Oryzias latipes: one gene and its partner. The protein of the gene in region 1 purifies or fractionates together with the protein of each later gene. This does not show direct contact. Links are inferred from orthologs where the notes say so. Each region holds a gene or a part of one and is shown in the gene's direction. Other genes may lie near its edges.

Evidence for each region. The genes of interacting proteins can lie anywhere in the genome.
Region 2: the proteins of etv6 (region 1) and lrp6 purify together in Homo sapiens (affinity purification with mass spectrometry; 3 studies listed by BioGRID and IntAct, counting the BioPlex papers as one, with this or other methods). This does not show direct contact. The link is inferred for Oryzias latipes from reciprocal best matches to the Homo sapiens genes ETV6 and LRP6.

What each region holds. Positions count from the first base shown.
Region 1 is NC_019881.2:2,234,364-2,238,384, reverse strand, and holds the start of etv6 (transcription factor ETV6), read left to right. Parts: upstream 1-1,221; 5' UTR 1,222-1,434; coding exon 1,435-1,461; intron 1,462-4,021. UniProt on the Homo sapiens protein: Transcriptional repressor; binds to the DNA sequence 5'-CCGGAAGT-3'. Plays a role in hematopoiesis and malignant transformation.
Region 2 is NC_019881.2:23,640,492-23,643,697, reverse strand, and holds part of lrp6 (low-density lipoprotein receptor-related protein 6), read left to right. Parts: intron 1-191; coding exon 192-403; intron 404-576; coding exon 577-767; intron 768-1,369; coding exon 1,370-1,579; intron 1,580-1,647; coding exon 1,648-1,773; intron 1,774-1,844; coding exon 1,845-2,081; intron 2,082-2,248; coding exon 2,249-2,365; intron 2,366-2,666; coding exon 2,667-2,900; intron 2,901-2,991; coding exon 2,992-3,128; intron 3,129-3,205; coding exon 3,206-3,206. UniProt on the Homo sapiens protein: Component of the Wnt-Fzd-LRP5-LRP6 complex that triggers beta-catenin signaling through inducing aggregation of receptor-ligand complexes into ribosome-sized signalosomes.

The sequences.
Region 1 (4,021 bases):
AGTTTCACAGATTTTCACCACATGGCAGTAGAGGCAGAACTGTGTGTTAATACTATTAAACAATTACAATTCTGTTTTCAGTAGGCTTTTGCTTTCTAACTCTACATCCAAGAATGTTAGCTCCAACAATCTGGGGGGAGTTAGAACACAGTTGTAATTATCCAATAATTGTCTTTTTTGGCTCGTCTTCGAAAAAAAATTGTTGTTAAACTCTCCTAAACTTTTCCAAAAATTTAAGAGAAACATTTCACAAATAAGAGTTTTTGCACATCTTTATATATTGAAAAACTGCCATGTTTAGTTTTATCGTTAACCAATTATGTTTTGCATTTTGCTGTTCCTCTTCTTCATTTGTATCCAGATTTCTTCAATACTTCTTTTTACAATTGTATCCTATAATATTGTTGTCTGCATGAGCCTAAAAAAGGTTGGAAATGGTATCAAACAAGCTTTAATGGAGCTTTTTATCCACTTAGCTGTTTAGCAGACACTCATATTCAAAGTGACATACACGTTTCTTACATTTATGACCAGCGTGGGACACACAATGTCTGCCTAGGCTGGGAAATTAAACCCCTGATCGAGTGTTGTTGTTTTCGGGTTTCCAGGAAGGTTTGGTGCTTTATTTTAAATTGCATTATCTAGAAGTCATGAATAGTTTACTGACTCCTGTGATCTCATGTCACTGATTATTTTAGATGTCTTTTATGGATACTAATAGTTGGCTGCACGAGAGATTCAGACATGAAAACAAATGGTATTTGAATTGGTAATTTTAAACTGCAGGTTTAGTCATGGTTTTCAAAACATTGTATCTAATGTATTGTTAATATACTTTTGCGGCATGAATTGTAATATTTTTATGACGTTATACCTTTCATTGTGCGGCATTTTTTAGAGGTATAAAAAATATTCCACCTTTTTTTCCTCCCTTATTTTGAACATGACAGTTTAGTTTTATGGTCGATGCAACGCAAAGCACGATGGTTAAAAGCCCTTCAACGGCGCGGTTTTTCTCGTTCGTCTCTCAGACGGCAGTTGCGTGTCTGCAGAGCGACCCGCTGCGATTTCCTGCTTCGGGTTTCCCTTTAAAAGGGGGCAAGGCTCGTTGCTGGGAATTCACGTCATTTCGCCGTTTTACACACAACCAGATCAATGAGCGACACACACCGCGCGCGAGGGGGGTGTCTCTCTCTTCCAGGAAGGGATTATTAACCAGCGCGCTGCCGACATGTGAAGGAAAACACGCGCGGACAAAAGAAGTTTTCGGCACCGCCACATGGACCGGACCAAATAAAGAGAATCGGCGGCGGGGGGGGGAAGAAAATAGAACTTCTCCCACAGCTACGAGCCGAGCGGTCGGACTGCCGCTGCCGCCGGGAAAGGAGCCACGCAGCTCGGGGAAAGTGGACGGACGGAAGTTGACGGGAGATAATGTCCGAACCCTCCGCTGCGAACAAGGTATCTGCGACCCGCCACCTTGTGCCCCCTCCCCCCCCCCATCTCTTCCCACACACTCTTTGAGGCTCGCGGCTTGGGGCACGCGCGCGTTTCTGCCGCTCATCTGTTGCTCGCCGCGCGCGTGTGCCTCACGGACACAAGTCGTGACTGTGGCGGATGGATTTAACGACGGGAAACCGTCGAAAACAAACACTTTTAAGCTCCGCGGAGTGTTTTATGGCGGTACATTAGAGACAAAAGTCACCAATGAGCGTGTGTCAAACTCCGCGCGTGCACAGAACGTCCCACGCGCACAATTTGGAATATAATCTAAATTCACTTTTCTACATCATTTTTTTTAAGGGAGACAGGGGTTGTCGGTCACCATTTGTACTCGTCTTTGCATTGCTCATCTTGAAAAGCAGCGATTCCTAAATGAAAGCTTAAGGTCCTAACTTTAAGTATGTATCTTTTTTACCAAGGTCTTTGTTAAGGAGTAATAAACCATCAAAGACATTCTGGTACAATGTGACCACCGACCCCAACAAGGTGTTGGTGGTCTCAGGTTGTGGGGTTGGTTGTCCCTATAGAAGTTCAATAGAATTTCAGGGGTTTTAAAATATGACGCTTTTAGTTTGTTACGCTAAAAACTGCAAATAAATTTTAAAATAAATACCACCACTACGATAGCATGTTTAAGTGACTGGAATTAAGGAGGGGATCACTTAGTTGAACTGTTTTCTGTGTTTTTGTCAATAAATCCAAATAATTTTCAGTGCTAAAACGTCTTTATTATCATTTCAGAATGTCAGTTGCCGTTCAACAAACGTACAAAAACCCAAAAAGATGCACATGTCCAATATTCTGAGAGACCCACTCCTTTCAAATTTGTGTTTTTGCTTTTTCTAGCATGTTCCTGTAGCATTTTTCTCACGCTTGACGATACATATAAATAAAATTAGGCTTCAAATTGCTTTTCGGATTATTTCCTTATTCAGATCATTGTGAATCAGGAGCAGATGAAAAAATGCAGTTTGAAAAAACCTGCAGCAGTGGCGTTCGTGCTACAGTCGACGGGCCATAAGCTCCCTGCTCCGCTCCATTCTGATGCATCCACCTGCAGACAAATGGATCCATGAACGTCTTTATTTTCCTCATCCGAGCTGGAGTCTGGATCTAAACTGTCAGCTGGATGGCTCCAATATTGCTTGCAGTTCTTTTTTTGTTGCCTTGCTAATGTTGGGTTGGGGCTGTAAGCTAGCGGTAGAGAGTGTAAACAAAGGGCAGGCCTACTCTGCCTCAACAGTCTCACCCAAAACTCAGAGGCAAATTTCCAATGAACTACTGATGCTCTGCAGGACTGTGTCGTAGAAAACCACACCGGTTGTTGGATTTTGGCTAAGATTGCCGTAATCATAATCATAAGACCACTGGGAACACTTTGACAATAGATCAAAACATCATTGGAACTAGAACAATATTGATTCTATATTGTTCTAAGTGGTACCAGCTAGGTCACCTGCTGATCTTAGCGTGTTCAGTCCATTTGTTCCCGTGCTCCTTAACGTTTCCTGGAACAAAAATACATAATTATGTCAGAATTCCAAGACATTCCTGACTTTTAAGTCATTGTAGTGTAACTACATCCTTTGAATTAGTCATTTTATGCATAATCTACAAAAACAAGCAGACAATTTCTTTTACAGAGATTGAGTAAAGTAAAAGAAATACAACAGATGAAAGGTAAGCAAGTTTTCTACACAAGAAACCCGCTAAATGTTGTTAGCTAGTGTTTTATCACACGCTGAAATCTGTGACAGTATCTAATAATGTGAATATGAAGTAAAATATATTTCATGTTTTACCAGACATGTTCAAATTTCAGACCATGGGCCAAATGTGTTCAAAGTTCCAACGGCTGCAGGTTCCTGTCACAAGATCAATCATATGCAGCCCACAGCACTTTCTGAAAACTGTGTGCAATTTCTTGATTGCGATTGGCTACGTTCTGTTATAAGCCGTTGTAAACCTGTGGGACACCGTCGCAGGACCCTCCGATTGACACTTTCCAGCTCATTTCTAAAATATTGACTGTGAAACGAAATGAACAGATTTGTTTGTGTGATCAAAACCACAATGATTTGTACTTCTGAATAAGATAACTATTTGTGTTATTTTCGTCTTCACACGATTTAAAGTGAGAAGTTAACCACAAGCATTTAATAATAACTAATATGTAACATTTCATGTAAACCCAGGTTTAATGTTAATGAAAGTATTTTTTCCGACAGACATTTTCTCCAGTTTATTTCTGGTCTTCAAATATGACATTCACAGTCATTTTGGTAATTCAGATTAGGGCTGCGGGATGTGAGGAAAATGGGATGTTACTGATCAAAATTGTGAAGACGATATAACTTGTGAGACATGATCATCACCGGGACATTCATGCAGCAGTGGAGACACGCTGGAGGCAGGGACGGGGAAGTATCTTGCTCAACGACACAGGAACGGTTCACTGGGGGAGCGGGGATTGAACCACTGACCCTTCGATCATTGGACGACCCGCTCTACCGCTTGA
Region 2 (3,206 bases), about 21 Mb from region 1:
CTCCTTCATTCATACTTTTGGACCCCGTTGGGTTCTGGAGGACCGCTCGTGTGTGAATCTGGGTTTTTGGAAGAGGACATTTCCAGAGTCTCCTCTCCTGGACCGAGAACTTCAGGCTCTTTGCACTGAGACCTGAAGCATGTGGTTCTGACCCGCAGGCTCCTGTGACCCGTTTGTGTTTGCTGTTCCAGTGCACGACGGTGGTGTCCAGCTCCCTGATCGGACCGGGTCAGGTTCTGCAGCTGTACGACCTGAGCATTGACATCTTCAGCCGCTTCATCTACTGGACCAACGAGGCCACCAACGTCATCAACGTGACGCGCATGGACGGCAGCAGGGTGGGCGTGGTTCTGAACGGCGAGCAGGACCGACCGCGGGCCATCGTGGTGAACCCAGAGAGGGGGTCAGTGACCTTTCTGTTTGCACGTGCACGCTCCTGCGCTTTCATGCTCCCCGTCAGTTCATTGGAACTCCAGAACTGTCTGGAAAGATCAAAGTTCTGGTTTGGTTCTGACCGGCCCGTTTGGACCTGTACCTGCAGAAAACTCAGGCAGCGTCTCCCCTGCTGTCCCACAGGTACATGTACTTCACCAACCTGCAGGACCGCTCCCCCAAGATCGAGCGGGCGGCGCTTGACGGCACCGAGCGTGAGGTTCTGTTCTTCGGCGGGCTGGGGAAGCCCGTCGCCCTGGCCATCGACAATGACGTGGGGAAGCTGTTCTGGGTGGACTCGGACCTGCGGCGCATCGAGAGCAGCGACCTTTCCGGTGAGTCTGGGTCACAGTGGGATCTGCTGAATGCATAGAGATAGGTCTGCTTTTCAAAATAAAACTTCCTTCAGAGTAAAGTTGGTGGAGCAGAGAGGAACAGGTTTCCTTTGGCTCCATGTCTTGGATTGTTGGACGCCCCTCATTCCACACATTCATCAGATCCGTCGTCTACCTGCTGGTTCCTGGCCGCCGGGCTTTGGCTTCTTCATCTCTTGAAGTCTTCATCCTCACTTCCTGCTGGAGTCAGGATGCTTCATGTGGCCGTTTGCAAACAGCAGTGAAGTCTGGATTTATGATCTGTGACGGTTCTGCTCGTTCCCTCCTCGCTGTCTGACGTAAAACTTTATTGAAACTGTCAACAGTTTACACTCAGAGGCTCTGGCATCTGAGAATGTGCCGCGGGGGAGCGTCCGACCCTGGAATCTTCCGTTCTGTTGGGTCCGGTCGCTGAAGAACTTTTTTTCCGTCTGTATAATTCTGAGCATCCTTGTTCCTCCTCTTGCCTCCCCCGCCTCCCCCTTCAGCTCCTCTCCCCTTTTGTTGCCTCCGTTCCTGAAGTTTTTCCTTCCCCGGTGCTTTTATTTTGTTAAATCCTTCAGGAGCCAATCGGATCGTGATCGCAGACTCCAACATCCTGCAGCCGGTCGGGCTCACCGTGTTCGGAAACCATCTGTACTGGATCGACAAGCAGCAGCAGATGATCGAACGCATCGACAAGATGACGCGGGACGGCCGCACCAAGGTGCAGGCGCGCGTGTCCTACCTGAGCGACATCCACGCCGTGCACGAGCTGGACATGAGGGACTACGGTGAGTCCGGCTCACGCCACCAAAATGGTTGTGCGAAGGCGGCGGCCTCAACCTGGTTGACCTTGCAGGCAAACACCCGTGCACGTGGGACAACGGCGGCTGCTCGCACATCTGCATCGTGAAGGGCGACGGGACAACGCGCTGCTCCTGCCCCGTCCACCTGGTGCTGCTGCAGGACGAGCTCTCCTGTGGAGGTAAAGCGCCGCCCTGACCCGCACGGACGGGGCTCTGCGGCACCGCCCACATCACCTTCTGTCGTCCTCAGAGCCCCCCACCTGCTCGCCGGACCAGTTCGCCTGCACGTCCGGCGAGGTGGACTGCATCCCGCAGACGTGGAGGTGTGACGGCTACTCGGAATGCGACGACAGCAGCGACGAGGAGGACTGCCCCGTCTGCTCCGAGGACGAGTTCCAGTGCGACAGCCGCCAGTGCATCGACCTGAGCCTGCGCTGCAACGGGGAGGTCAACTGCCAGGACCGCTCCGACGAGAACAAGTGTGAAGGTGAGCGGGGCAGAGTGGCGAGGACGGGGCGCGGCTGGCGGGGGGGTCCGGCAGAAAAGCACTGGTCGTCAAAGTGCTGAGGCATGATGGGCTGTTTGACCGTCCCGGACTTCGCTGGTCCGCTCAGAAGGTTCTGGATTAAGATGTTCTGATGTTTGCGTCCGCAGTCCCGATCCGGTGTCCCGCCGATCAGTTCTCCTGCTCCAACGGTCAGTGCATCGGGAAGCACAAGAAGTGCGACCACAACATGGACTGCAGCGACAACTCTGACGAGATCGGCTGCTGTGAGTCTCCATGGCGACACGCCTCCCTAAAGCTCCGCCTCTGCTGTGAATGTGCTACATGCTAACAGGAGCTGCATGCTAACAGGAGCTACACTTTAGCTCCATGCTAAACGTATACTACATATTAATAAGCTAATAAGCTACACGCTAACAGGGGGTTAAGTGCTAATGGGGCTGTGTGCTAACGCGAGTTACATGCTAACAGCGGCTACGGGCTAACGGGGGAGGATGCCAAAAGTTTTTTTTTTGTTTGTTTTTCCTCCTGTTGGCTCCACTAAAACGTTTTTTTGATGTTTGTCAGACCCAACAGAGGAGCCGCCGCCTCCAACCAACAGCACCATCAACTCCATCGTGGGCGTGGTCATGGCCTTGTTCGTGGTGGGCGCCATCTATTTTGTGTGTCAGCGCGTCTTGTGTCCCCAAATGAAGGATGACGGCGAGACCGTCACCACCAACGACTTCGTGGTCCACGGGCCGTCGTCTGTGCCGCTGGGATATGTTCCACATCCGAGTTCGCTGTCCAGCTCGCTGCCCGGTGAGCACCGCGCTCTGAGCTTCAGACGCCTCGTTTCTGCGTTTTTAGGCTCCACCTCCTCCTGACATGACTCGCCCTCACCTGTCCACAGGTATGACCAGAGGGAAGTCTGTCATTGGTTCCCTAAGCATCATGGGCGGGAGCAGCGGCCCGCCATACGACCGGGCCCACGTCACCGGGGCCTCGTCCAGCAGCTCGTCCAGCACCAAGGGCACCTACTTTCCTCCGGTGAGGCCCGGCGCAACACGCCTCCCCGCCGCCACCACCTCACAGACGTCTTGGTAACCTGCTGCTCTGCCTTTCAGA